Linked DNA regions of Drosophila melanogaster. The protein of the gene in region 4 purifies or fractionates together with the protein of the main gene of each other region. This does not show direct contact. Each region holds a gene or a part of one and is shown on either strand. Other genes may lie near its edges.

Region 1 (7,249 bases), on a different chromosome or scaffold from region 4:
ACATGGCTCTCCGGCGACTGAGAACCCGCGCATGACGATCACCTGTCCGCTTGGTGAGAGATCTTCTGCCTGCACTGCAAGAAATAGCGTAGGTTCTCGAGCGGATTTGTATATTTTGATCTTTTGGGAATTAAATCTTTTGAAAATATGTTAGATTATTTGATGCTAGAATGATGTGATCCCATAATATTGTACTGACTATGTGTTTGAATATATTCCGTCTCTAGCACAGAAACATCTTATTTTTCAGTGCATCTACTCAAGCTTGCAATCTAATCTGAAATGAGGTGTAAAGATGATGTTTTCGAAAAGTGCCAGACTAGCGAAGAAGATGGAAAGTTTTACATTCAATTTTCGGTCTGATTAGACAGCAAAACATTACCGAAAATATAATGTTTTCTATGAATCAATTGTGGACCCAATCTAATCTGCGGAGTGGGAGTAGGGCTCACCACCAATCACGTGCGTGCCCAGAACATTGGCAGTGGTCATGATCTTCACGCAACTGGGTATTCGAAATAAAAGCCAGGGCCAACGGCCAACTATACGCTTTCTGCTTTCGATAAGGAATTTGAATAGTTACTCGATTTAATAGGCATCATATAGATTTTTGGATCAGGAAATATCACCTGGCACAGTTTGGTTAACATATTTTACAAGATTTGCTCAAACTAATCCAGTCTTTGTGTACATTAGCTATAAGAAATACTGACTACGTGAATTTAAACTGAGCGGGAATTTTTTTTGAGGCTTAGCTTCTGCTGGCAATGAACTTGCGGCGACCATGGATGTACCACATGGTTTCGTGGTAGGAGCGAGGCAGCACCTCAGTAACCGCGTCTGGAGCGGAGAAGGTATAGTGAAACGTGTTAGTGGTCACGTGGTTCCCCGTGTACGCGTCCAGGACTTCGGCAACAGTCATGATCTGCAGGTAGTTCTCCTGGGTGTACACCACATACGCGGTCATCTTGATAAAGCTGTTCACGCTGACCGGCTTCTGGAAGCTAATGTCCGATATGTGCTCCAGCGTGGGTCTGGCCTTGCAGTAGAGGAACGCTGTTGCCCAGCTAATTTCCAGGGCACTGCGCATGAGGAATCCCCCGAAGACAGTGTTGTTTTGGTTCCTGTGCTCCGGGAATGAGGGAATAGTGCTCATCTGGAAGGAGTCGTGCATCCAAATGCAGTTGGGAGGCAGGAGGCGGCGCGGACCGGTTTGCTCGTTGGGAGTAGTCCTTTTGTAGAGTTTGTAGATGAGAGATTGTTCCTCGGCGTTGGGTTCCACCTTGAAGACGGACTGAGCGATGAGTAGCTGTCGTTGCTTCTTCCTGTCGGTCCCGCCAGCTAGGATGCGCTTCTCCTCCTCGTTGGCAGGCTGAATGGGATTCACTGGAGCCGCAGCTGTGTTGGTGGCATTTCTCGCCGCCATCAGAAACAGAGCTCGCGTGATTTTCTGATACTCCTCATTGACAATCTGCTCCAGCCATACCACCACCTCCATGGAACTGGTTCCCACCCAGGACACGTGGCCAGACAGACGGATGTCTTGGGTGCCCTGGGGTGAGACACTGGTGAAGTCGATCCGGTCCACCAGGACCGTCACGAGGGAGTACGGCAAGGGTACTCCCTCTGGCAGATTGGGCACTTTCAGGTGCCTATTACAGCACCAAGCTACGAAGAATTAAGCAGACAATTATTCAACAACATGGCTTTGGCCAAACTAGATGGTACCGGCGAAGATGTCCATGTCCTCCAGAAGCCTGCCAAGGCGCGCGAAGCCTCTAAAGTTGATATACTTGTCCTGCAGAACTGCATTCGTGCTCAGAGGAATGATGGCCGAACAAAACGAGTCCTGCATAGATCGCGCAGGTAAGTCCTCAAACTTGGGTTGGTACTTGAGTAGATCCTCCCTGGACTTCGGCTCCGTGGTGAACCCAGGCTCCAGGCCGAAGCTTTTCAGCATCTTCTTCTTGACTAAAAGGGATATCTGGACAAGTAGCACCTATTTCTGGAATGGAAGTACTTACTCTCCGTCATAGTGGCGTATTGACCGTCCGCAGAGGAGTTACGCCCATTAGAGCTAGAAGAAATGTGGCCTATAAAATCTGATTTCTGCTAGTTGTGTTGGTGCTTCACCTGGAATTTTTATGTGTCATCTTCCTGAGGGTCCTGGCCTTTAACAAGCTCCGGCAGCTGCGGGCTCCGAGCAAAAAAGGTACAACACATAATTTAACATTTCTAAGACCAGGCCCCATGGAAACGGATCGGGATCGAGATCTGAACTCAGATCCGACACGAAATTAAAACTATAAATTTTGCTTCAGCTCTGCTTTTTTGATTACAGGTAATGGGTATCCAAAAAATGTAAAGTCGGCAAAAATTAGGGATTATTTTGACAGTTATTATATTAATAAACATTTAATCTAGTACTCTTCGATAGGGTTTAATAGAAGATTTTAAAAGTTTTAAGCTGGTTGGTTAAGCACATCATTAAACAACAGACATTTATTGCTTTTTGTAAACACTGAACTGGTAATTGCATTTATCTGGTAGGATAGCCTTGCATAATATCTTGAGTAACAATCACAGGCTGAACCATGTCTACACTGGGCCCATGCTGGCCTCGAACTTTCGACGACCTTGGATGTACCACATGGTTTCGTGGTAGGAGCGGGGCAGCACCTCGGTAACCGTGTCCGGAGACGAGAAGGTGTAGTAGAACGTGTTGGTGGTCACCTGGCTGCCCGTTTGTGGGTCCATCACATCTGCAACGGTCATGATCTGCACGTAGTTCTCCTTGGTGTACACCACATAGGCGGTCATCTTGATGAAGCTGTTCACGCTGACGGGCTTCTCGAAGCTGATGTCGGATATGTGCTCCAGCTTGGGTCGCGTTTTGCAGTAGAGGTAGGCTGCTGCCCAGCTTATCTCCAGGGCACTTCGCATGAGGAAGCCTCCGAAGACCCGGTTGTGGTGGTTCCTGTGCTCCGGAAATGAGGGAATAGTGCTCATCTGGAAAGAGTCCTCCATCCAGCGACAGTTTGGTGGCAGGATGCGCTTGTTGAGTTCCAAAGTGTTGGTGGGAGTTGTCCTTTTGTACAGCTCGTACATAATTGTCTGCTCCGGGTCATTGGGTTCCACCTTAAAGATGGACTGAGCACAGAGAATCTGACGTTTCTTCTTTCTATCTGCGCCGCCAGCCAGAATCACTTTCTCTTCCTCGTTGGCCGGCTGTAAGGGGTTCACAGGAGCCGCTCCGGTATTGTTAGCGTTTCTTGCTGCCATCAGGAACAAGGCACGGGTTAACTTTTGGTACCTCCCGCCAACCATCTGTTCCAGCCACACTACCACCTCAATTGAACTGGTTCCCACCCAGGAAACGTGCCCAGACAAACGGATATCTTGGGTGCCTGAAGCCAAGACATTGGTGAAATCGATGCGGTCCACCAGAATGGTCACAAAGGTGTACGGCAGATGAACTCCCTCCGGCAGATTGGGCAGAACCAGGTGTTTATGACAGCACCAAGCTGGAAATAGCGGATAGTGAGAAAGTGCGCCAAGATTCCAGCAAATGTGTTCCTCATACCAGCAAACAAGTCCATGTCCTCCAGAAGTCGCCCGAATCGCACATTGCCCAGATAGGTCACATATTTGTCCTGCAAACTGCGGTCCGTGCTCAGAGGAATGATGGCCGAGGTGAAGGAATCCTGCATAGCTCTTGGAGGCAGATCCTCCAGCTTCGGCTGGTACTTGAGCAGCTGCTCCCTGGATTTGGGCAGCGGGTTGTAACCGGGCTCCAGCCCCAATCGCTTCATCATCCCCTGCTTGACTGCAGACGTTCGGGGATTACGATGGGTTTGACTCTGGCAAGACAACACTTACCCTCCGCCATGGTTCCGGATTCATTGGCGACCGCTGATTGCTTGATATGCGTGGGCGGTGAGTAGTGACGCCTGTTAGAGATGAAAGTACTCATTTACCATGTAAGCTCATCATTTATTTTTTGCTCTTACTTGAACAATGCGAAGGATGCTGGCACCTGTTTGGTGGGTAATTCCATAAAGTTCCTGGTGCGGATCAGGCCCCAGCACTTTTGTGCTCCTATCAAAGAACGCATCATCTCGGTTTAACTTAGTTTCGCAGCTTTCTCCTTGCTTTTCAAGTTACATACAAAGTGTAACCTGTCTTTGATCTAACCCCAAATAGAAAACAGCTGGCGGCCACAGCTGACTGGTACAGTGGGCTCGAGAAAATTCGTCTCCAACTAATTTCGAAAAGTTCGATTCTTTAGTATATTAATTTTTTCCCATTTACTTTAATTAAATTGATTTGAGACTGACTGTTCTTTACACAACAAAGTCTTCATTTAAAAAAAATCCTAATATATCTCATTATTTTCAGTATTCCATCAACTTGAGCCCACTGTTTACAGAAGTGATACATACGTATGACGTCATCCCGATTGTTGTTAATTTTAAACTGGGAAGCGAAGTTCCCTAGACAATTTCTCAAATTAACACATTGTTTTGTGATGCATAAATTATGAAATTAAGAGATTGTACTGTTTGAATATTGACTAATTGCTACTGTATATAAAATAACATATTAAAATTAAAATAGAAAATAGTCATCGTTTGTATAAACTATATTTGCAGGTATAAAACCTTGATATTTACAAAAGTATCTTGACCCGAACGCACTTAACGCAGATATTCGACCAATAAAACAAAAAATTATGGGAATAGTAAAATCCAAATCTCTACGCTTACAGATTTAGTTCCTTGAGCGCAAAGTTCAGCACCACCGGCAAAATACCAGCATCTTCCAGATCCAAGATCTGTTGCCGAAGGTTCTCCACCGGATGGGAATGTATCATCTGCAAGAAGAGTTAGAGTGACAATAGAGCATTTCGTTAAAGTGCGCGGTTCGAGCATACCTTTTTGATCTTTTGGCGTTGCTCGCTGCTCTGGCAGAAGCTGAGTAGAGAGGCGGCCATGTGCGGTCGATGGACGACGATGCAGAGCTGGGCGAACTGTAGCAGGTTGAGGGCGTGCACCACCGGACAGCCCTGCAGGCGCAGCAGCGTCTTGTGGAGCACCTCTTCCTGCTTAAAGGATCGTAGCTCGACTGCGTTCTGCAGAGGATGGCAGAGCACATAGTCCCAGGCCTGGGCCAGTCCATCCAGGTGAAGTAGATGCGGCCGGCAGCTGAGTACATCCAACAAGGCGTTCAGCTCGCGCACCATATGGAACATGACCATGCGCTTCAGAATGCCGTTCCAGATCTGCGGCAAGTGTATATCAAAGCCCAGGCAAATGTTGGCCATGACTTCCAGCGAAAGGGGATTCTGCGCATTACGCTGCCAGATCATCTTCAGAATGTCAATCTTGTTGCAATGGTCGTCGGAGAACTTCTCCAGGTTCGACTTGTAGCCCAGAGCCTTGAGCTCGTGCACACACTTGATGCTGATGAACTGGCGTTGGCTAATCGTGTTGGTAAAGGAGTTGCTGCCATCGTTTAGCTTGGAATAGCACTCGTACATTTGCAGCTGTGTGGAGGTGTTTACCGAACTGGTGGAAGGGTTTATTCAATGAATTATTTTCGCTAACTTTTAAGTACCAATCCTTACCCGCCCTTGAAGATCAGACCCACAAGGAACTTGACTGCCTCCGCCTTTGGCCAACTGGAAAGTATGTAAAACGCTCTATTTACGTTCTCGCTGGCGTCCTGGCTGTTGGAGGACTCTGCGCCGTTGGCCTGCTCCGGCCAGTTCTGCTCCTCCATGAAGGTCTCCTCCAAAATGGTACCATCACCCGCAGACTCCATAGTCAGAGCGAGCCACTTCTGTAGCAGGCGGTACTGGATGGTGGCTAAGCAGAGGTCGTGCAGCTTGGCTATCTCTGCGACCAGAGCGTTAATATCCACTTTGCTGGACTTGAGGATCAGCTCATGGTGGTAGAGCGCCTGAATAAGCTCGGTGGGGTTCTCAACTTGGCGCAGTAGCTTCTCATCGGTCAGGCCATAGACATACAGCAGGTGCTGGGTCTTCTGAATAGGATACCGTCGCTTCACCTTGGCAACCTGCTCGCGACTCTTTGGATCTGTAATCAGGTGGCCCTTCTCCTTGACAAACTTCCAGCACTCGTAGGAGGCCTCCACCTGATCGGCTCCATCACGAGCATAGTTGGACACGAAGTACAGTATTAGAAATGCCTTGTTTGGGTTGTTCACCTTCTCGACCAGTCGTAGTATTGACTGCAGGAAGGCATTATTCGTGGGATGAAGACTCCATGATTCCGAATCATTTTTCGACTTGTACTCCGATATCGAATTCTTTACTGCTGACATGCAGAAGTAGTCACAGTTCTGGGAACTATCCTTGGATCCCTTCAAAGCCGTGTACATCTGAATCAGTGGAAACCAGCTTTGGCAGTTGTCCACGTTTAGTTCGCTGTCTGAATAGAAGAAGCGGAAACTATAATTAAACAGAAGCATTAAGCATTAAACTATTTCAGTTGAATATACCAAGAATATCCTTAAGAGGTTGCTCTACGATGGGCTTAAAAGGCAGACGATATCGAGATATCTTCGGCATAACGCCATTTTCCCTTTGTGATTTCAGCCACGTGTCGGTTTCCACCTGACCTGGCCGATTGCGTCTTCTGGTGATCATCTTGTGTCTCAGGAAGTGCAAAATGTTCATCCAGATTTCCATTTCCTTCGGAGCCGAATCGAAGTACATTAGGATGTTGATCACACACATGTACAACTCGTAGAAGTAAATGTTGATCTAAACGATTTGCAAAGATATTAAAAAAAAGATTATTTGTGGCATCAGTGAGCTTACGTCTTCAATAAAGTGTTTTAACTTGGAAGTAAAGAGCTCGACATTATTGATTTCATTAATGTACGGTTGGCACATATCGCGCATTTCCTGGGCGCTGCTTAGCATAACCAGTTCCTCGTCGCCGAAGGTATCCCTCTTCACCTCGAAGCGCAACTCCTGGGCGCTCAATATGCTTAGTATCTGGGTAATAAGAATCTTTTGGTAGTCGAACCCAAAGTCCTTGCTCATGCGTTCCAAAAGCTGAACGTCAAGTTGCTTATTGTGAAACTCCTTAAGCAGGTCCTCTATGTTGTCCATGTCGGCATTGAACTTGCCCTTTATTCTATGATCCTGTTGGCAAAACTCCAGGTAATAGAAGAGTTTCAATCTCCTGCAAACCAATAAAACGAAGTTTAACATCTAGAC
Region 2 (7,760 bases), on a different chromosome or scaffold from region 4:
CCTCTTAGTAGTTTTAATAATAATTTAGTTTTACATATTTCTCTAAATATATAAGCGCCAAACATTTTTCATAAAAATTTCATTTAAAATCCATCAATCGTGTGCAAACTACATATGGTGATCCATATATCATATCTGCCTTCACATCTTATGCAGCAAACACAAAATAAACCAGTAGTTTCTCTTATCGATTCACTCAAAACAAGTTTGGACTGATATTAAGCAAAATTGTCGTACAAAAGTCAAGTCGTTATGATAATTGTTGTTCTTATTTATTTTTGTCTATACTAAAATGCCTTAAACAATAGTGAACTTTTTGCTCTTGATGAACTCGATGATTTGGGCAGCACGAGAGCCATTCGCTTCCTCGTAGTATGGCAGCTCCTTGATGCGCTTGATCCAGGCAGCCAGCTCGGGATACTTAGTGGCATCTACAGGCAGGAACACGAAAAATCCTGTCAAGCCGGCGATGACGTGGAAATCGGCAATGGTCAGGTTGTCGCCGGCCAGATAATTGCCATTCTCCAGAAACAGATTGAGGGACTTGTAGACACCCTCCAGGGCATCGATCCTCGCCTGTGGAATCTCCGTCTTGTTCTCCCAGAAGAGCGGAAAGGTGATAGCCCTTCCTGTCGAGGTCACCACGCTGGAGTCGTAGTGCAGACGCTGATCGACAATGGCTCGCTTCTTCAGATCCTTGGGGTATAGAGAATCATTCCGGCCGTACTTGCTCACCAGGTAGGAGTTAATAGCATGGCTGTCGGCCAAATAGAAACCATTATCATCCAGAGCGGGCACGGTGTGCAGGGGATTGATCTTGAGGAACTCTGGCTTCAGGTGCTCCTTCTCCATCAGATTGACGATCTTGTAGTCGAAGTCCAAATTCAAGGCTCTCAGCGTGAGCAGCACCGAACGGACCGGAGGACTACCGTCGATTCCGTAAAGCGTAAGTTTTCCCATGTCTGTAGTGTGCTGTAAGGCGATTGACTAGTAACTGCTTACTAAACGTCGAAACTTGGGGCTTTATATAGCCACCAGGTGGTGCTCTTCACTTAAGAGAGCTTTGCACATCTGTGATGACTCTGCAGTATGTCATACTCAATGCTTGGAACCCACATATCTCTTAGCTGTCGTATACGTAATATATATACACTTCACGTTTTAAAGCTTTACAATACAGAGCGCTTTTGGTCACATATTAAACATTTCTATTTGTTTACTCATCGTTTTGGGATTTAAAGACCATTGTCATAATTTAACCGATAAGCCAGTTGATTATATTAAACAGTGAAACAGCAATTTTTGGAAATTAACTATCTATAAGCAAAAAACTGATCATTTAAGTTTTTCCATCTATATATTTCTCTTTTATTATTTCTCTCTTTAGGATTCAGTACGTAATGATAGTTTTATTATGATTCTAAAAATGATAGGTTTTTGTTACAAATCAGTTGTAGTACTATTCGATTTGATTTGTTTTTATGGTATTTATGGCATTTGATGGTATTTTTTTTTTAATACAAATTACTATTGCTCCAGATTTAATACGGGTTTCAATAAATTGATATACTTCTTCAAGCCCCGCAGATTGTCTTCCTCATAGTGGGGCAACTTAGAGAGTCGTTCGAACCAAGCAGCCACCTTTGGATACTTTAACTCATCCAGATCAAGAACAGCGGCCAGCGAGGATGCAGTAGCTCCGCAGCATAAATCAGCTATGGTCAGTTGCGACCCGGTCAAATAGGGATTATCCCCTAGAAAGTTCTCCAAATGGCCATATGCATCTTTAATGTTGTCCACCTTCTCCTTGGGTACCAGGCTTACTTGGCGAAGAAAATAGGGTATACTGACATTTCGCAGCGACATAAACAGAATGCTGGCATCAAAGAACAAACGCTGATCCACCTGGGCGCGCAACACCAGATCCCTGGGATATAGCTCATCCGAATTGGCATACTTGTCCACCAGGTAGCAGACAATAGCATGTGAATCCCAGATAAGGGCACCATTATCTTCGAGGAGTGGTACGGTGTGCTGCGGGTTCTTTTTGAGGAACGCATCCTTAAAGTGATCTCCTGCCAGTAGATCCATTTCCTTGTATTCGTAGTCCAAGTTTAAGGCCCGCAAGGTCAGCTTGCAAGCGCGAACAGGAGGACTAATATCCATGCCATACAAAACCAATTTATCCGACATGATGCGATCACCAGAGAGACCCAAGTTCCACTAAATTTGCCACACACAGAAATCTAAACGAGCTTAACTAAACAACCCAATTGGGTGCGCTGAGCTTGCCCCATTTGTATCTTAAATAAACTTTTGTAATTGTACACTGACGATATCATAAATGAGCGATAAAAATATTACGGTCGGGTTCCCCAACTGTGAGATAATAATTACTGACTCAAGTCCCATATTAAAGTTTATAAATTTCAGTATTTATTATAAATTCAAATATTTAAATAAATATAAATTAAATAAAAAAATAAATTAAATATTTTATATATATGTTATATTTTATTGAAGAAGTTTACGTTTTAGAAATGGATGTGTATGTTGTTAATTGATGGAATTCAAACTTGTGAAATGTCATATTTAAATATAAGTTTAGTTTCACTTGTCGCCCAGCTTGGTCCACTTGCTGCGCAGGAAGGCGACGTAGCTCTGGGCCGGAGCTTCGTTGATCTCCTTGTAGTAGGGCAGCTTATTGAGGCGATCCAACCAGGCGGTGACCTTGGGATATGTAGCAGGATCTATGTCCACGGCAGCGGGCACGGCGCTTACAGTGGGTCCGGTGGACAGATCGGCTAGGGTTAGCGAATCGCCGGCCAGGTAGGGGCTGTTGCCCAGGAACGTCTCCAGCAGCTTCAGACCCTGGTGTACGGCGTCCAGTTTTTCCTGGGGCACTTCGGTAACACCGTTTATCCAAAACGGGCGGCTGACATTGGCTATACTGGCATAGATTACACTGGCATCGAAGAAGAGACGCTGATTGACGATCGCACGCTTGGCCAGATCCTTGGGATACAGCTCATCCGACTTGGCATACTTGTCCACCAAGTAGGCGGCAATGGCATGGGAGTCCCAGATGAAAGTGCCATTATCATCGAGCATCGGTACCGTGTGTTGGGGATTCTTCTTCACATATTCCTCGCTCAGGTGCTCGCCCGCCTGAAGATTCACCTCCTTGTACTCGTAGTCCAGATTCAGGACCTTTAGGGTAAGTTTGACGGTCCTCACACAGGGACTGAGATCTGTCCCATAGAGTACAATTCCAGAGCTCGACATGATACGTGTTGTTTACCCGTCAGTGTTTTTCTTTCGACTGATCTCTCTATTTACTGTACATATATACACACCTTATTGCCTCAAGCTTTTTGCTAAATGAGAGAGCATTTCGTAAATCTAAGATAAAAGCTCGAAACCATGTGTTAAACAGTTAAAAAAAAACCATATATATAATATGTATGCCTATTTCATCATAACAAACATTAATTACCCCCAACTGATAGTTCTGGAATCATCTATATGATACTAATTTTAAAACACCATATGCAGTGGTGAACTACAAAAAACATATACTCATCAAAAACAAAGTAGGTCTCTGTGAACTCAGGAACATTGGTTGTCAGAAGAAATTAATTTAATACAGTTACTTGTTTTATGATTTATTGTAATATACATCTATTTGAATCATGTAGAACCCATGTAAATTTACAATTCAAGTCTTCCTAACGAAGCTTGAAAGTTTCTAAAAGCTTAAAGCTTAAGTTAAGCTGGCATAAAGCTTATCGTTATTTTGGATAAAATTGTATGATCTGATACACAGAAGTAATAATATTAAACTCATAATTTTATAATTATATTTATATGAAAATGTTTGCATAGAAACACTGCTAATGAGTCTGGTTACTTTAGGTTTCGTTTGGACGTTTCTAGCAGTGTATATAAGTAGCCCCTTTGGTGCTCCAACTATGATCAAATAAATCACGGGGACATTGATCAAATATTGACACAGCTAATAGATAGCAGACCGACTTATCCCGGACATTAATAAACAATCAGGCAAACTTAAACTTGCAGCATTATGACGTCTTTGTGGTAATTATCAAGAAACTAAGTTTAATATCTAATCTTATCGCGTTTGAAAGAAATTTAAATTATTTAGACTGCCTTGAGTCAGTTGTGGATGGCACACTGTCTGCTACGAATCTCAATTCAACCAGCTAGAAGGCAATTAGTTAAGCAACCACAATGGCTAACCTGATTCTATATGGCACTGAGTCCAGTCCGCCGGTCCGTGCCGTTTTGTTGACCCTTCGTGCCCTCCAGCTGGACCATGAATTCCATACGCTGGACATGCAGGCCGGCGATCATCTGAAGCCGGATATGTTACGCAAGAATCCCCAGCACACGGTACCCATGCTGGAGGATGGTGAGTCATGCATTTGGGACTCACACGCCATCATCGGCTATCTGGTGAACAAGTACGCCCAGTCGGATGAGCTCTATCCAAAGGATCCGCTGAAGCGAGCTGTGGTGGATCAGCGGCTGCATTTCGAGACCGGTGTCCTTTTTCACGGCATCTTCAAGCAATTGCAGAGAGCTCTGTTCAAAGAGAATGCCACTGAGGTGCCCAAGGATCGTTTGGCTGAGTTGAAGGATGCCTACGCCTTGCTGGAGCAATTTCTGGCGGAGAATCCCTATGTGGCCGGTCCTCAGCTGACCATCGCCGATTTTAGCATTGTGGCCACCGTGAGCACTCTGCACCTGAGCTACTGTCCCGTGGATGCGACCAAATACCCCAAATTATCCGCCTGGTTGGCACGTATCTCCGCATTGCCCTTCTATGAGGAGGACAACTTGAGAGGAGCCCGCTTGTTGGCCGATAAGATTCGCTCCAAGCTGCCCAAGCAGTTTGACAAGCTGTGGCAAAAGGCCTTTGAGGACATCAAGAGCGGAGCTGGAAAACAGTGATGCGGAAGCCATTGTCGCATCGAAAAGAGAGCATTGCCCAAAGTAAAATTGTATGTTAAATGGTATTTAATATGATGTATTAAAACTTACGCTGCTGGCAAAATGATTTAAAATGTATATTATGTTTGAATAATCTTCTTTTTTTCCCAGTGTATAGGCTCACTATATACTGTTCTGAGTTAACTGAAGACTTTGTAGCCATCTAAGTGCTCTTGGCCGGTAAATGTCCTTGATGGCGAACATTTTTTTTATGTTGTATATAAATTACTATCTAGCGTGGAGTGCATTTCCAATGGCAACGCAGCCAAAAGTTTACAACTTTTTTGCGCTCATTAAAATTATAAAATTTTACCCTCCACAAAAGCGACACAAAATAGAAGAGGGCGGGGTAAATGAAAAGCGCAAAGTTTTCCTGCCGTGTCGTGCATGCTAAAGTTGTTAAATCATAATTAATTTATGACGGCGCCATCCGCCCAAGCAGCTAGCCAGCCCAGCTCCGCAGCAAACCCAACTCGCCCCCGTTTTATGCCACTTCCAAATTTGCCTCTTATCTGCGCTCGGGTCTCGAACTCCCCGCCCTTCGCTTGCTCCAAGTCCACAAAAAGGACGCGCCGTCGTTTAAAATACTCTTAAAAAAGGAGCCAAGTCTAAATACCTGCTGGGTGAAGTCCGTTTCCAAGCCCCACGGAAGTCCTGCAGGAGATGCTAACGTGAGCGGAAATTGGAGTCACGCAATCCGAAGATATTTCTTATGAAGCAAAAATTCCAAAACTTTTTGTTTTTATTTTGCAGATGTATGGAAATCTATAAAAAGTACATGAATTTTCCATTTGTTTCTTACTTATTTTCAATTTCTTCCCTACTTATAAACCTTTGTTGGCCTTAAAACACAAATTTTTTTAAAGCATTCCCTTCCTATTTAAGCCCCAAAGAAAAGAAAAAAAATCATAAGCTTTAACGTTTTTAGAAACTCGTGACTACTTTGTGGGCATCTCAGGAACTTACCTTGTGTCGCCGCGTTTTATGCGCCTCATTGCAACGGCGACGAGAAAGTGGTGGCAGGCAAACTAATTGGTTTAATTTCAACTTTTACTTTGGCCCAACCAGTCAGCATGCCACCCCTACTTACCCCAAACTCACCCCATCTCGCCCCGTCCACCAACCAACCCCCACATCCTTGCCAGCATGGCTCCCCGAAAATTCCACCCATCGTGTCAGTGGCATTTGAGAAGTTTGCTTTGCTTTACGCTCCGCCTGCCACTTCAGGACGCTTTTACTTTTTCTTTTTCGCTTCTACAGGATTCCACTTGGCCGGTTTATTTCCTGCTTTTTATTTTTTTTTTTTTATTTTGCTCACCGTTCTCGCATCTCAATTTATCCTAGTTTTCATTAAATGAACAAGCTGATTCTTATATTTCTAAAGAAAATATAATACTCGGAAGCCATTTGAAAGCTCGTTTACTATTTTAAATGAAATTTATTGCAATCCATGCATATTTCACAAAAATACACTAAAAAAGTAGAAGGATAATTGTGAAAGCTAGTAAATTTTAAATTCAAAGCAAATAGCTATTCTTTTTATAGCTTAAACTTGATGCTTCGCAGAATGGGAAATTTTTCGCCAGCACACTGACCACGAAAATCATCCATGGACAGGTCGTGGAAGGCCACTCCGCCCAATCCTTGGGCATGCACAAATCCGGCCTTAATGGCCGCCGTCAAGGGATCCTCGTAGCCCACCCATAGGCCATTCTCCCCTTGATCATCCGCTGCCCGGTACGCATAGATGCCAAAACGCTTGGTGGGATCGCCCACTTTGCGCAGATGGGGAACCTCGCGATCCTGTGGTTGCTGCTGCAGCAAATCACAAATCTCCGGCCAGCTAAGCAATCCTGGCGTAACAGTTTGCCTTCCCGGCGGTGCAGCTCCATTTGCCGCCGGAATTGGTGGATAGCCGGTGATGCCGGAGTTTCGGGTCATATTCCAAGCTCGACCATAACTGGTCACTCCCACGTGCAGTTTGTGGACACTGATTTCGGATGTCTGGTTCATCCAATACTGCACCTGGTACTGCACATTGTGACTGGGATCCCGATCGTACATGGCATACAATGGCGTGGGCAGATCTGCAACTTTGGGATCGCGTTCCGGCGTTTGGAAGTCATAGGTGCCCAGGTTGACGAAGTCCACGTTACTTAGAACCTTTGGAACATCAATAAAGACTAGGGATAGTAAAAGTAATGGTTAATATTGGCGAGATTCTCAATGGTTTCAATGATTATACTCACGTTCCGCTGAAACATGTGGCAACATACTGACGGTTAGCAGTTGGCCACCGCGTCGCAAATCGGATTGCAGCTCTTCGAGAAGTGTGGCAAACTGCTCACGATGCTCCTCGGACTTCTCGTCCACCGATGAGGAACTAAACCAGCCACGTAACGATCCCCATACCCTCTTAAACACGCCCTGCTGCAGTTTGGGCCTATTTTTGGGAAACTGCCAGGCGAGATCGATGCCATCGAAGCCGTTGTTGTTCAGTTCCGCCAAAACGCTTGCCTGAAAGCTTTTCCGATGCTCCGACTGTTCCAGTAATCTTAGATACTTGTCACTATCTGCCACGCCCTCGCTGTTCACATCCCGATCGCCGCCCACCGAAAGCAGGAAGCGAACATGCGGATATTTTTTGCGCAGAGCGGTAATGTGTCGATAATGCTGACGATCATTGGTCAACGAAGGATCCAAACTCTTGATCTTATAGGTTACGGCATCAATGCCCGCATAGCCGT
Region 3 (7,104 bases), on a different chromosome or scaffold from region 4:
CCCATTCTTTGACCCCCGAGGCTTTAGCCTCAACATAGAACATGTCCTTATATGTTTTGTTTGTATCTAGTGTTTAAGTGTAAACTTTGCAGACTTTGTGCAAGTAAATGCTGCCTTTTGTAAAATCCACGGAATTAGTTGCCTTAAGACAAAGTGTAAAGACAGGAGCCAACAGACAGGAGCCCGACTCCCTTCCTCCCCTTTTAGTAGCACATATTTTTGTATTTATAACCAGAGATATATAGAACTGGCAGTTGCGTATCTCGAGAAGTGCACTTGTGTCGGCTCTTTTGTTTTGTGTAAATAGCAAAGATGTTTATAGGCCGCTAACCATACATATATATAGTATATATATTATATATTATCGTTATAAGCGATTCTGTAAATACTATATATGTATCTTTATCTGTAACCGTTTAACTTATATCTTATCGTTCTTATCATGTAACCTTGTTTAAGCTAGAGTTAGATGACTAGCCTGTAAGAGCAACAAGTAAACTATATGAACTAGATGGATATGTATCTTTCAGTTTTTTTTCTGTTTCATTATTACTGCTCGCAGACCACAAGAACTAAAGTTTTGTATTAAAGCGGTTAGTTAATTTATTTAAAAATAATAAAAAATTATAATTAAACCCAAAAGCTCGATTTTCTGTTGGTTTTATCAGCGTTCGTGGTTTTTCTACTCGCCCGCCATCATCTCCATGAATTCTGTGATCGAAAATGGCAATTAGTCAGCATCACATATTTGTTAATTACAAGGGAATACTTACCATCAAAGTCCACGGTACCGGATCCATCAGTGTCAATCTCAGCGATGATGCCGTCCAGATCGCTGGAGGAGAGCTTGTCGTCGAGGGCGGCGAGAATTTCCTTCAGCGTTGAGGTGGTGATGTAACCATTTCCCTCGCGATCGTACAGACGAAAGGCCTCTTTCAGCTCCTTCTGGATGGCCTCGGCATCCTCCTCTTCCAGGAAATGGGCAGCGATGCTGCAGAAGCCGTCGAAGTTAACCTTGCCGGTGTCCTCCGGATCGTTGTCGTCGATCAGAGCCTGCAGTTCGCTATCGTCGAACATCTGACCCATGCTGTTGAGGATCGTCTTCAGACGCAGCGTCTCAATGAAGCCCGTCTTTTGTGTGTCGAACATTTGGAATGCCTTGCGCATGATGTCCATTTTCTCGTCGTCCTCCTGCGGTTACCAAAAATTAGCCCGATCACATCATAATCGATTGCACAATATCCACCCGCCCAGAGAAATGCAAAAACAACACCCGATAGATACCATTTTGTATCTGTTGGCCAAACGACAATTTGCGAGCGAGCGAGTATTCCAATCTCCAATGCGTTCCAACTGCGTTGGCCTGCGGGCGCGCACTAAACCGATCGCCTGGCCAAGATCATTATTTATAAACAACAAATTTCGCTTAGTGGAAGCGTCACTCATACGCAGCGTTGTACACCTCGTCGGCAGAGGAGCAGCGGAGCAGAGCATCCCATCCATGGGTTATTGTTGGTTTGGCTTTTCGGCAAAACACTTTATTAACCAAGCCATTGGAATGTGAACTAGTGGAGGTGGCGGTGGGTACAGAGGTGTAGGTGAAGGTGGAGGCGGATGCGCAGACTGATTCTGGCCAGACGCTGATCTAAATCAGATCAAAGTGTTACAGGTGCACTGCCTGCCTCCTGTTGGTTGGGTTATTGGTTGGGTATTGGCTGGGGTTGGGTAAGGTGGGAGGGTACTGATGCCTTAAGGTCGGCGGCAGAACGGCGACGTCATCTCCATCATCTTTGGCGCTGGCAGCCGGAAAAACGAGCGCACAGCGCACGCCACAATTATGCAAAAGAGCAGCAGATACAACGGATACACCAGATACAGCACATACAGATACAGATACAGATACAGATACAGATATAGGTACACCCTCGCATCCATATTTCGGCGAGTTGAGATGTGTGCATGGCCTGGTCCGTCGGTCACTCAGTCAGTCACTAAAAATCGACTATAAACGTCTTCACAATCAGTCACAAAATCAGTGCGATTTTCTCACGGTAATTGTATTTTTAGTACTTTATAGCAATTTTTGTCCATATGATCATGAGTGTGGGCCAGATGCCGATGGCTGGTCCACAGCCAATTCCACAGGCTCTTTGCCGTTTGCTGACTACTTGCTGGCTACCCACTCTACCCATAGCCACTAGTGCTGCGGTTAACCACACACCCATCCGATCCTCAACCTCCATCCTCTCCACTTTGGTCTCGAAAAATGTTGATTTGGTTTTAGATTTTTGCTTTAAAACAAACAAACAGGCATTCAGGCTGGCAAATGGACATCACGCTAGATGGACAGGCCAATTGTGGGGGATGCTATGGTTCTTTGGGCATGGGTTCGGATTTGGATGCGAATTCGAATTTGGATAGTTCTGTATGAGTGGGTAACCTTCCGGCAGCGGCATTTTTTTTTTTGGCAAAGGCGCACAGTAGTGGCTTTGATGGTCATTTGAGTTTTATTATTTATGACAAAACGTGAAACACATTTGGAATGTCCCAGTGAGGTGACGGAATGGCACAATGGGAAGAGGGGTTGGGTTGGGTTGGGTTGGGTTGCTCTGGCGACCACAGTGCACTCACACAGTGGCACTTCGATTGTTTTTGCATAATTTTCAATGCCCAAAATGTGTATCTGTATAAATAGCTTGAGTTGAGTGTTGGCCACACTTGTGGCATAAGTTCTAATTCGAACGCTGACATTTTGGTGGCATGAAATTTAAGGCTAGATTTACGATGTAATTACCACTGCAAATTGTTCTGCCCAGGAGCGAAGTCAACCGCGAATTAATTAATTACTGACTTCCTATTTATTTTTAAATTGATTTTTAAAATTCTATTTCTGTTCTTTTTATAATTTAATCATATTTAACTTTTATGCAGAATTCCACTGCTATAATATTTTACTGCTCCTCCCTGGGCGCTACAGATGCACATATTTTGCAATTAGAAAAGCTTTCCGGTTACTTATTCGGTTGAACGAGACAAACTTAATTAAAAAGATTTTATGGAACCTAGAGCATATAAAGTCGGAAAATAAAAAAATCAGTAAAGGCCTCAACGGAATCGAAGAGAATGATGAATAACATCTTGGTCTTAATAGGTAATTCAGGCTGAGTTAATAATAAAGTCATAAAGTAATCGTGTTTTAGGCTTCTCGAGTGTTATGCTCGTTGCTGGCTTAGATGATATGAACTGTTTTTCCCTGCAAAACGAAATTTGTCCCAATGCCAACATTTCCTTTTGGCTATACACGTAAGATTAATGGTTTTATACTATGATTTTCATTATCTATCCGTATCTGCAGAAAAGAAAATCAGGAGGGAACTAAGCTTTCAGTTTTTGAACTTAATCGTTTTGAATTTTATCACCACAAACCGCTCAAGGTTCTGATCCATGGATTCAACGGGCACCGCGATTTCAGTCCCAATACCCAGCTACGTCCGCTGTTCCTGACACAGGATTACAATTTGATATCCTTGGATTATCCAAAACTAGCCTATGAACCCTGCTATACGGAAGCGGTGCACAATGCCAAATACGTAGCTCGCTGTACTGCTCAGTTGCTACGAGTACTCCTCGAGAGCGGATTGGTCAAAATTGAGGATCTGCACCTAATTGGCTTGGGCTTAGGTGCCCATGTCGCAGGCTTCATTGGGCAGTTTCTTCCGGAACACAAGCTGGAGCATATTACAGCCCTCGATCCGGCAAAACCATTTTACATGGTCAAGGATCCGGCTCTAAAGCTCGATCCCACTGATGCCAAGTTCGTGGACGTCGTGCACACGGATGTCACGATGCTTGGCTTACTGGATGCAGTGGGTCACGTGGACTTCTACTTGAACATGGGTGTATCACAGCCCAACTGCGGACCCATTAATAAGAGTTAGTAATATTAAGGCCATCTGCTTTACCTATATTTTTCATTTTCGTTGTTCTGACTTTAGTGGAGACTCATTTCTGCTACCATAACCGAGCAGCAGACTATTATGCCGAGTCTATTTCGTCACCTTCTGGATTCTATGGCTTCTACTGTCCCAATTTTAAAAGCTTCGCAAAGGGAATTTGCATTCCTGATAAAAATATAGAGCTGATGGGTTTTCACGTGGATCCGAAGTAAGTGCCAGCACCTATTTTTCCAGATCTCTTTTTATCTATTTAATTGCAGAGCCAGAGGCAGGTATTTTCTGGATACCAATAATGGTCCTCCTTATGCCAAGGGAGAGAACTTTACCTCAATAAGCCGCCAACTAAAAGGTCGAACTTTCGTGAACGATGATATTATAGATAAATTGATTGGAACGTAGTAAGGGATGCTATCCAAATCTTAAAACGAATATTTTTAATTCATAAATAAACATTGAATAATGTACCACATAGAGGATTATATATCTCTATTTTCGTGTAAAAATTTTTGCCATTTCAAAATCATATTTCGGCCTGGTCTAAATATTCAGGTGAAATACTTTCGACACTCTGACATGTTCAGGTGAGTTTGGCCCACCTTCGCAATCAACAGGAGGAGCCAACCCGACGACCACGTCAACAACTCGTTGGGCCAGGTGACAGATGCCAAGAAAAAGGAAAAGTTGCCGCCACTCAGTTTCAGTTTCAGCGTGTTTCGGTGTGCGTGAAAATAAATGTATATGGAAAGCAATTTCACGCGCCTCTGGCTTTTCATTCGAAACGAAACATAATGGAATTTCTTGGTTGCGAGGGGCGGCAAAACGAACGAATCAAATCACAACTAACGCGAAACTAGCAGCCAAACAAGTGTTTGCATTCCGTCGCCAAGAAGCGACGACAACCGAGGATGTGACTCGGAATCGAATCGACTCCAAATCAAAGCAGGCGACGGAGTTTGATCGATAAAAGTCAAACGACGGAGTTAGGAGCGCCCAAAGTTTTGGGGCTAATCGGTATCAAAACGGTGTAAATAGTTAGTTGGTAGTCAGTGGCAGAGTAATACGTAGAAAGAACGGTCGGGTCAAGGAGCTATCGGCATGGAGGAGCTGCAGGATGCCAGCATCCACCATATGACCGCAAAGGTAATCGCGGCCATCAAGAACACTAAGAGCTACGAGCCCATCTACAAGGAGCTGCAGAAGCTGGTCTGCAATCCCAGCGTAGATACTCACGATATGCGCAACACCCTCGAGGATGCCATCAAGAGCGCCGGACTGGAGACGGAGATCCGGAATATTGTCTACAACCTGGTCCGCACGCGGCTGTCGAAAACAGATGACAAAAACCTGGCCAACAAACAGGGAGCGGTGGGTACAACTTTTAAGATACAATTTATCAAATTTCTTGTAATTGAATTTAGAATAATTGGAGTGGTATTTAAAAGTATTCCATGCTGCTCCTATCATTTTCTACTTTTTGACTTTATTGGCAAAATTTTATTTTATACCTTAACGTTTATAAAACAAATTATAATGATACATAATACCGGAAGATCTCGAAGTGCCACAACTATAGAGTTAGCCTTAGGGGTATTAGTAGTATGTAGTGCTAGGGAAAATGAATTAAATAGTTCTTTACTTATGTCTATATTTTCCAATAGAAACCCACCGTTAGTGATCCACTTGGATATTTAAAAAGAGCTGGTGTGCTTTGGGATCGAAGGGTTAGGAAGAGTTTGAATGCCATGTGTACAGAGCTGAAGGTTCCATTGCATGGACAACCAAGGATCAGTGCTGATCGCGAGGACTTTATGGCCAAGTGGAACGAACTGAGCAACTACAATATGGGTAGGCATTTCGTAAATATTGAAGCTAACAATTAACCATGGTTAAACTTCTAGATCTGGCCAACTATAGGCCTGTTTACGCTCCAAAGGATTTACTGGAGGTGCTACTCTCGCTAAAAGGACCCGCCAAAACCACTGAAAATACAGAGTAAGTTTTGGTTTAAATCAGTCAGGTAAATAATCATTTTGCTCATTAGTCAAATCCCCCAATGGGAGTTCTCCCACATTGCACTACCTGTGAAAAATCTTTTCGAGCTGCGTGCCCACTACGCGGATCTGCTGCGAAGTGATAGCTATTTGGGAGTGCCGGATCTTACGGTTCAGTGCCAGAGGATTCTGGAGGCCAGGCATGCGCCCATGTGCCAGCAGTTTCTGAAGAAGGGCTGCACACCCGCACCTTATAGGGGAGCTCTCTGGGCTTCGGTGCTGGACAGCAAGCTACATGACTACGTAACTACTGATTTTGGGATCAATAACCTCATTATACATCTCTATACCCCCGAAGGATATTGAGTACTGGCAAAAGCTGCGCAATGCCGTTTGGACTACGGATCACATCGTTGACAAACTGGTCTTCAAGGACATTCAGTTGACGGCCTCCAACGACGACCAGTACTTTGTGTTCGAGGACGTGCTCTACCAGGTGCTGCTCTGCTTTTCTCGGGACACCGATATCGGTGGATGTGTGGAATACGAGACGTTTCCGGTGAAGGGCAAGACCTACGAAGGTCCTCCATCGGGTGTGGTGCCCTTCCACGGCATCTGCATGTTTGCCGCCCCCTTTTGTTATCTGTATGACTCGCCGGTGAGTCTATACTATACATTCCGGGCCTTCTATATCCGGTACTGCCATCGCTTGACCACCATAAACACGCATCCTCAAGGGATTGTCAGTCTGTGCCTGCTCTTCGAGAAGCTGCTGCAGACATACGAACCGCAGTTATGGTCCCATTTCCGAGAGCTTCAGATACAGCCGTGAGTTGGGATTGGGTTTTTCGTTAGACAGCTATTTCACCCATTTCACGACATATCTTTCCTTAGCCTGCGGGTGGTCTTCAAATGGCTTATGCGAGCGTTTTCCGGACATTTGCCTCCCGATCAATTGCTGGTCCTCTGGGATCTGGTACGAAATACACCTCCGTTCTTATTGGCAGTACTTATCCCTTCCTTTTCAGATCCTTGGCTTTGATAGCTTGGAGATCCTTCCTCTATTCGCCATCATCATTCTTAGCTTTCGAAAGGAGAGCATCATGCAGGTGGCCTCGTTGGATAGCATCGAAGCGATTCTGGCAGACTTGTCCTCT
Region 4 (8,470 bases):
AGCAACTTCAACACCAGCAACAGCAACTCCAAATCCAGCAATACCAGCAGAATCAGCAACTTCATTTGCAAAACAGCAGTAGCAATTATGCGGCCACGCTTCTAGATGCAGCGGCCTTTTGCTACGAAACCGTGATGGATGCAGCCCACTTCCAAAACAACAATAATAACAGCACCATCATCAAGAACAATATGCAGACAATGCCGGCAAACGCTGCCAATGCTGCTGCAGCTGCAGGGGGAGGGGGAACACCGACCTATCAGGGGAAATACAAGCGCTGGCAGCAGCAACAGTTACAACAGCAGGCGCAACTCCAACAGCAGCAGCACAAGCTGCTGTTGCAGCAAGAGCTGCTCTAAAATATGAAGGGAATGATGACAAGCGAGTTTAAGAGAACGAGGAGCTGCCTGCCACACTGCCGCCGTCAGCAATAACAACATCCCAAGAAAATTCACAGCGAGTCGCAAAAGCATCAACAAACAAAGCAAAAAACGCAAAAAAGGATTACAAAGACGCAGAGAATAGGGGACATTTGCAATGGGAAATAACAAATTATTGCATTATCTGCTGGATTGTGATTGTGGTTCAAACATTAAAAATACACTTACTCATACACACAAGGTAGACACTGCAGACTAATTTTGCCTTAAAAGAAACAAAACGAATAATGTTAACTGTAAATTTTCACTTTGTGTCCATGCATAGTTACTAGTAATGATGATATAAATATATAAATATATATAAAATATAAAAATTATATAAATGTATAAATTTATATTTATATATATATATATATATATATATATATATCTGCATAAACATTGAAGCATACTAGTAAATCTTTATAAATATATTTATATATATATTTATCTCTTCCTTTTAACGCTTTTAATCGGAAAAAACATCCCAATTATATTTTAATTCAATTTGAAATATAAAAGTCATTTTTGTTTGTTTTGTATCAAAATCCAAAAAAAATTGATTTAAATATAAAAATACCATAAACATTAACACCACACACACACACACACACACATATATATATATATATATATATATATATATATATACATATATATATACATTTGTATATAGTCGTATCTGAACCACAAACAAATCCACAGATAAAAAAAACTGAAAAATTCATAGAATCAAACCATTTTTTTATATGCCACAAAGAAAAGAAAATAAGTAGAAATGCAAGAAAAATCGAGAAAAAGCGTAATTCATGAGATCAGATCGGATCAGAAAAATCAACAGAAAATAAACCTATTTGAAGTAAAATACTTCTAAATACATAGTAAACTAATGTAATAGTTTTTATTAAAATTACACATATATGTATCGATATATATACATGTTTTTTTTTTTTTAATTTTAAAATTATAATTGTAATGCACTATGCGTAAATTGTATTAAATATTAATATCCAAGGCATATTAATAGAAATATATATACATATATAAAACCTGCAAAAAAAAAACATGAACTACCAAGCTAAATGTTTCAATAATATATAGATCTATATGTATGTAAAACCGATATGAAATCTGCCTACAGCCAGACAAAAAAAACCTTAAAGAGAAAGATCAGAAGAGGAACAGAAGAGTATGAGCGGGGAGTGAAAGATGCAAGATTCATCCAAAAGCGAAAAACATTTTTTTCTTAAGTCTACGCAAAACAAAATGAATGAAAAGTAACCCGAAATTAGTTTTTAGAGTATAAGTATAAAAAATGGAAAATATCGCGATAGAAAGAAACAAAAATGGACGCAGATAAGGACGGCAAGCAGAACAAGAGTAATAAAGCAGCGGCAAGAACTCCCTAAAAATAGCAAAGAGCATTGTAAATATTTATATAAATAATTTATGCCTAATTAAAGTTTAAATTAATGAAGAAAACCAGCAAAAAAACATAAAAAACCAGAAGAACCATTTCAGATTTGTATGCAAATTTGTATATGTACGTACTTTCCTTTAATTTTAGCCAATCAGTTTGTAAGATTAAATTTTTTTTTTGCATCTCTATAAAGAATAATGATATGAGGATAATGATTCCGATTTTTTTTTCCGTTTAATGTAACCGTTAGAATTAGCCCATAATGGTCGATATCTAAATGTGTGTGTATATCGATGTGATGTCATCGATTGTCGATAACGATTGGATGCGAGTGTGTGTTAATTTAATTTGATAAAAGATAAAGGAAAGCAAGGAATGTGAAGATAATGAAAGGAGATGCATAGAGAATGAGAGCGAATCTATCTATTATATAATTATGTAAAATGCACATCTTTAAATTATAAATTATACATATTTAAAAGGAAACTATTATTATTATTTTGATTACCATTATCATTATTTTTTATTATCACTTAACGGTTTCGGTTTGATCCACAGCGAAACCAACAACAACCAAGAAACAGAAACAACAAAAAGAGAAACAAAATAAACAAGCGAAATGTTTGATAAAAAAAACCACGAGATGTTTTAATTTATTTGTCTTTAATTCTTCGATTTTATTGAGTTTTTCATAGAGAAAGTTGTCACACTCAAGAACACACACGCAAGCGTATAAAGCTAAACAAATTAATACCTACTAAGTGTTTAAATAGTACTAAACGAATCAAAATATAAATACTTAAAAAGAAAAAAAAACGAAAATAAAAATAAAAACAGCAGCAGAAAAAAACGATGAGACAGTTGAGCAGACGAGAAAAACAAAGCCCATTAAATTATTTGTTGAGTATTTTATTAAAAAATAATTACGATAATAATTAAAAAGTTTAAATTGAACGAATTACGAAAAACAAACTGAATATACATATATGTGTGCATATATACATATATGTATGTATTATATATAAACAAATTATTTAATAGTTATGCTAAAAAATTATTTAAAGTGAACGGATATGAAAAATATTTGTATGCGTGCGAGCACGGAGAGAAGGGCACTCAGAATAGGCCATCGACACCACCCACTCCCTTCCGATACCCGAACATCACCACCAGTTTTCACCATTTTCTGACCCTTAACCCCTTCAACCAGACACACACCAAACACAAGAAAAGGCGAAGAAAGCCGAAAAAAAAACAATGCAAACACGAAATAGGCGGCGACGACAGAGATAAGCGCGAAGAAGATACTAAATCAATAAGTAAACATAAAAATTAATTAATAAATTAATTCCAAAACAAAATGAAAAAAGCTAAAAAAAAAACATCAAGAAAACAAAAGACAAAAGCAAACAAAAAACATGACGAAACATTGAAAATAAAAAAATACTAAAATGATTAACAGAAAACTGTTTTAATGTCAATGGGGGCAGACATAAACTTCTTCAGCAATAGTTATGGACTTAATTGTGGCTCATTACATTCTCGATCCTATGTGAATATATATGTATTTAGTTTTGGGGTATGTGGCGGAAAATGGCTGTTATCTTTTTAAAAGTTGTCACATTTTCCAGCACTATCGTACGCACAAAATACTGAAAAATACAAGAGCGAAGCGATAAATACCGTCGATTAATTCTCAGTACTTTTTCATGGTATTTATGCATACCAATCGATAGGGCAGAGCAAAAGTGGACGTAAAGCTAAGCAAATATTGCTTATTAATAATATTAATATATTAATATATCAGATCTGAAAACATCGAGACAAAACGGAATTCAGAAATGGCTTTCACAATGCAAACCGGGGATCTGAAGAAGCTGAAGTACTTCATCGACTTTGCGCTTGAGAATCCCACCTTCTTGAACATGCCGCAGCTGCAGTTCGTCAAAGATTTCGTGGAGAAGTTTGGTGGCACGGTGCCGCCTGGCCAATTCAACGGTGGCAGCGCCGGAGGGTAAGTTAACCGAACTATTTGACCAATTTTCAAAACAACACGATTGTATGATTTGCTCATCCCGCGGCTTGTTCTTCCAGCAAGTGCCCATTCGGCGGTGTTGCTGGTGCCAAGGCCAACGAGCCGGCCAATGCCCCCGAGGATAGCGAGGACGAAAAGTCCCTCTCCGATCCTGAGTCGGACGTGGAGCTGGACATGGAGGGTGAGTGTGCAAATTTTGCCGAGTCACGTGGTCATTGGGGGTCACAACCCTGGACTTTGATGCGTTGCTGTCGCAGTGCTGGCAGTTGCTTTATCTTATATCCTTTCGACACTGCAAACTTAGCGTTTACCCAAATTCGAATCCTGCAGTATTAATATATGTAATACGCCAATTAAAACTATGTATCTTCTATCCGTATTACTTCCGACGCCTTCAGGTGTGATCGAGGCGGACAGCGACCCCGCCCAACCCATGGGCAACTACAGCAAGAAGGCCACCGAAGAGGAGGTGGAGCAGGCGAGCGAGCTGCGCGCCCAGGCGGCCTCCGCTTACGGCCAGCAGAAGTTCGACGAGGCCATCGCCTTGTACACCAAGGCCATTGAACTGAGCCCGGGTAATGCCCTTTTCCACGCTAAGCGTGGTCAGGCCTTCCTCAAGCTGAAGAAGCCGAATGCCTGCATTCGGGACTGCGACGTGGCGCTGGAACTCAACTCGGATTTGGCGGCTGGCTACAAGTTCAGGGGACGCGCCCGTCGCCTCCTCGGAGATTTTGAGCTGGCTGCCCATGATTTGCGCCAAGCATGCAAGCTGGACTTTGACGAGGAGACAGACGAGTGGCTAAAGGAGGTCACTCCGAATGCCAAGAAAATCGAGCAGCATCGCTTGAAGCAGGAGCGTCGCCAGGCAGAGCGTAAGATCAAGGAACGCCAGCGGGATCAGAGGCGCGCACGTAAGGAGCAGGAAAAGCACAATGCCAGCTCTGGTGGATCATCTGGAGAATTTTCCGGTGGGAATCCTGGTAACGGAAATATGTCTGATATACTGGGCGCCATGTCAGATCCCGAGGTGTCAGCCGCCATTCAGGTTCGTGAATACTACTTTTCTATTTCTAATACAAATGCAGTAATCATATCGTTGTTATTTATTAACTTTCGTAGGACATTTTGTCAAATCCGGGTAACATCACAAAGTACGCGTCGAACCCGAAGATATACAACCTTATCAAGAAGATTGTGCCCGGTGGAGATGTGGGTGCTGCCTTTGGCCAAGCGGGTGAAAAGGCTGGAAAGCCGAGCGAGCCTAAGCCTAAAAAGGACTCCGCCGACTTCGTCGATGACGGTTTGGACTAAGGTTTAGAAATGGGGCAGTAGTAAGACTGAAACATGCGTCGATAAAAAGAAGTTAACAACCAATTACACGAAATCGAGCGAGATTACAAAACAACAAAGAAAGAGAAAGCAACAGAGTGCGGTGAAGAAGATGGACTACACGAAAAACAAAAGGGAAAGCGGCTGCCTTACACATTTTTGCAGCTGAGAAAAAACAAACATTTCCTAAGCTTTAACTTAACCAACACGTAAAAGAACGGGCGACAATGGAGAAAATTCAAATATTCAAAATACTACAAGCAGTCAGAAGAATAAGCAACATTTATTTAAATCGAGAAGAAAGAGATGTTGGAGATGCTGGAGACGCTTCTTCACATATTATTGAAAAGCATACTTGCGGCCATTAAAGTGGCAAATGAAACTATACAAAGGAGCTAGAATATGCTTAAAAACTTATCACATTTGCAGTTCACAGGTAAATCAAAAGATTGTCCTGTGACGAACAAAACATAAATGTTTAGACGTCAAGTCAGATTCAAGGGTGCCGATCGATCTAGTTGAACTAAAGCTCGAGAAACAACCAAAAGAAAATAAAAAATATATATATGTTCAATAATATTAGCCTAAATTACCGAGAACGAAGAAACGGATAAAACTAATCGCATCATTTGGTCAAACAAAATTGTACTGAGTAGGATTTAAATCATATTGTAAGCAAATGCATTTAGCCCCCCAACATGAAAGCAATCGCCCATTCATTCACACACTCATTCACACACTCATTCAACCAGTGATCAATGGAAATAAATAAACGAATCAACAAGAACCCGAATTGCTAATGTCCATATTTTTTGGTAAACGGGTAAAAGGGGAGATACTTTTGCTTTTTTTTCGAGCGGGTTGGACAGATGGAGCCGTAGTCCCTTAAACTATCCGGCGCATCACCTGTGTGGGTTGCTCACTTTGTATGAAGGACATTGGGTACGCATGGTGTATGAAAGCGTCGATTAGACGCTTCAATGGCTGCACCCTGCACCCTGGATCCAGAACCTATCTACCGCACCCCGCCCCATGTCAGCGCGAAATTGGCTAACGGACAGCTTGGCGCACATGTTCGATTATGGCCAAATCGAGCGACCAAGCAGAACCAGCGGCACATGACCTGGGCTCAGCGATGCCAAGACCTGGGTGGTTGTACCTAGAGGTACTTGATTGCTTTTTAAACTCAGCTTGGTACAGCGTACACGACTGATTATTTAGAAGCTATGACAGCTTTCTTTGCTTTGATATTTTTCATATTTATATATAAATTATAAATATATATTTATAAGCAGGTGATATGGTTGAAACATATATCAACGAATATGTCAAATATAATACAGTGAAGTGTCTGCATTATTTTATTGTACCTGCGCCATCACAGGTACGGCTCCTCTTTCCATCGACTGCAGACGTACCGCTTATGTGCATGACTGGGTGTCCGGGGTGGTGGATGTGAATGTGGATGAGTGGCAGGAGGGCGCAGGCGCAGCTCAGCCCAACAGCCAAGTTGGTCTGGACTCCTGGCGGCCCATCGCATTCCGTGGCCAGTCGCAGCGCGAGACGGTTAGCCAGTTAGCCAGTGCGGACCGACTAATTCCCAATTTCCGCTCTTGACTAAACTAAAGATTGAGAAATAAAGAAAGAAATATCCTTCGTCCGTCCCCCAGACGAAGCAGGTCAATTTTTTTTTCGTGTTACTTGCTCTTTTTCGCCAAGTGTGAGTTGTGTGTTTTGGCTTGGCTAACGTGATTGAAATCGAGACAGCCGGGACATCATGATTGTCAACATGCCCGTCAATGGAACGGGCAGTGCATCCAGCCCAACATCGAATCCCAGCAGCAACAACAACAACAATAGCAGTACCACCAATCAAAATGATACGAACACTAATCTTCCCGGTGATTACAACTTTCTTAAGCGCAAGTTCGACGATCAGGAGGATTTGGCTTTGGGCCACGACTACGAGCCCATCGGGGCAAATCCCTGGAAGAAGCGACACTTGGACTACGATGCCGGGGACCTGCACTTCCACCTGCAGCTGGAACAGCCACCTAGTAATCCGCCAACCAACGCTGCACCCGCCCAATCCTCGACGTCCTTCATCAACGATCTCTTTTCCTATGAGAGCAGTCTTCTGGTGCCCGCCGTCGCCTATTCGCACTGTCCACCATCGAGTGCTCCATTGGATGACAATGGTGGTTGGACCGGTGGCGAGCTGCTGGAGCTGGATCATCGTTATAACTCCGGCCTGCAGGCGGAACTGGGGCAATTGAATGCCACTTTGCCGCCGCCACCACCAACATCATCATCAGCTCAAAATGCATCCAATCATACGCAGCAGTCAACACAACAGAATGTCATTCCTGGTCAGAACCCACATCAGAATCAACATTTTCTGGTGCCGCAGAAGCAGCGGATACAGTCGGCGGGCCGACGCACCTCATCCGGTTCGGTTAGTGGGGCCAATGAAGCCACCGAGGCGGACTTCGAGGATAAGAACCTCTCGTGGCTGCTCAACTTTAAGTTCGACGAGTTCCCGCACCTATCGCCGCACAATCAGATTCACGGACAGGCGGTCAATCTGCCGGAGGGCAGTGCTCCACCTCATCCACCATCGACGGCAGTGCCGATCGCCACGTCGCCCTGCAGTTCCTCCTCGCCATCATCCGCCTCCGCCGCATCGGCATCCGCATCCGCCATAAGCACAAATCAATCTCTCGGATCGGGTTTGGTGGATCAACGGGCCAGATCGCCCAAGAGTTGCTCCAGTGCAGCGATGCCAGCGGCATTAGGAGGAGGAGGCAACGGCTCCGCTGGCGCTTCAGCAGCGGGGGGCGTGGCCGGCGTGGGCTCCACCAAGACTGGGCGCAAGTTCGAGGAGCTGGTGATGGAGGTCACCTCGGAGTTGGACGGTAACGACATGATAGTTGCCGAGCACGTTGTCGTCGAGGATACTTCGTCCAAGGCGTAAGTGTTGCAGAAATAAAACAATATGACAGTGTCAACGGTTAAATTCTATATTTCCTAATTTATTTGAAACATCTATTTATTCCCGTTACTCATAGAGGAAAAGGGTATACTAGATTCGTTGAAGTATATATAAAATTTGTTGATCAGGATCAATTTTTAAATTTTTTTCTCATTTTATTCCCCAATATCTATCGACATCCCAGAAAGATGATTAAATTTCGCGTTCGCATTCACACTAGCTGAGTAACGGGTATCTGATAGTCGGGTAACTCGACTATAGCATTCTCTCTTTTC

What was found.
Region 1: the proteins of HIP-R (region 4) and CG1635 purify together in Drosophila melanogaster (affinity purification with mass spectrometry, with the first as the bait; one large-scale study listed by BioGRID). This does not show direct contact.
Region 2: the proteins of HIP-R (region 4) and GstE10 purify together in Drosophila melanogaster (affinity purification with mass spectrometry, with the first as the bait; one large-scale study listed by BioGRID). This does not show direct contact.
Region 3: the proteins of HIP-R (region 4) and CG14034 purify together in Drosophila melanogaster (affinity purification with mass spectrometry, with the first as the bait; one large-scale study listed by BioGRID). This does not show direct contact.

The regions. Positions count from the first base shown.
Region 1 is NT_033777.3:31,585,621-31,592,869, reverse strand, and holds CG1635 (uncharacterized protein), read right to left. Parts: upstream 4,198-7,249; 5' UTR 4,118-4,197; coding exon 4,011-4,117; intron 3,951-4,010; coding exon 3,880-3,950; exon of another isoform or gene 3,827-3,879; coding exon 3,584-3,826; exon of another isoform or gene 3,525-3,583; coding exon 2,599-3,524; 3' UTR 2,478-2,598; downstream 1-2,477. Other genes in the region: CG1638 (uncharacterized protein), read right to left, coding at 752-1,668, 1,729-1,971, 2,025-2,077, 2,134-2,252; rod (rough deal), read right to left, coding at 4,763-4,873, 4,934-5,567, 5,627-6,452, 6,523-6,787, 6,845-7,214.
Region 2 is NT_033778.4:18,393,957-18,401,716, reverse strand, and holds GstE10 (glutathione S transferase E10), read left to right. Parts: upstream 1-3,324; intron 3,325-3,915; 5' UTR 3,916-4,098; intron 4,099-4,148; 5' UTR 4,149-4,251; coding exon 4,252-4,974; 3' UTR 4,975-5,079; downstream 5,080-7,760. Other genes in the region: GstE3 (glutathione S transferase E3), read right to left, coding at 298-960; GstE2 (glutathione S transferase E2), read right to left, coding at 1,528-2,193; GstE1 (glutathione S transferase E1), read right to left, coding at 2,611-3,285; Idgf5 (imaginal disc growth factor 5), read right to left, coding at 6,553-7,196, 7,263-7,760.
Region 3 is NT_033779.5:5,212,534-5,219,637, reverse strand, and holds CG14034 (uncharacterized protein), read left to right. Parts: upstream 1-3,095; 5' UTR 3,096-3,123; coding exon 3,124-3,151; intron 3,152-3,200; coding exon 3,201-3,303; intron 3,304-3,355; coding exon 3,356-3,933; intron 3,934-3,995; coding exon 3,996-4,164; intron 4,165-4,216; coding exon 4,217-4,355; 3' UTR 4,356-4,449; downstream 4,450-7,104. Other genes in the region: TpnC25D (troponin C at 25D), read right to left, coding at 683-711, 774-1,191, 1,285-1,287; CG7742 (uncharacterized protein), read left to right, coding at 5,052-5,321, 5,615-5,801, 5,855-5,948, 5,998-6,250, 6,306-6,775, 6,842-6,923, 6,976-7,104.
Region 4 is NC_004354.4:3,786,484-3,794,953, forward strand, and holds HIP-R (Hsc/Hsp70-interacting protein related), read left to right. Parts: upstream 1-3,485; 5' UTR 3,486-3,593; exon of another isoform or gene 3,594-3,646; 5' UTR 3,647-3,680; coding exon 3,681-3,853; intron 3,854-3,933; coding exon 3,934-4,055; intron 4,056-4,272; coding exon 4,273-4,919; intron 4,920-4,993; coding exon 4,994-5,185; 3' UTR 5,186-5,994; downstream 5,995-8,470. UniProt on the Drosophila melanogaster protein: One HIP oligomer binds the ATPase domains of at least two Hsc70 molecules dependent on activation of the Hsc70 ATPase by Hsp40. Stabilizes the ADP state of Hsc70 that has a high affinity for substrate protein.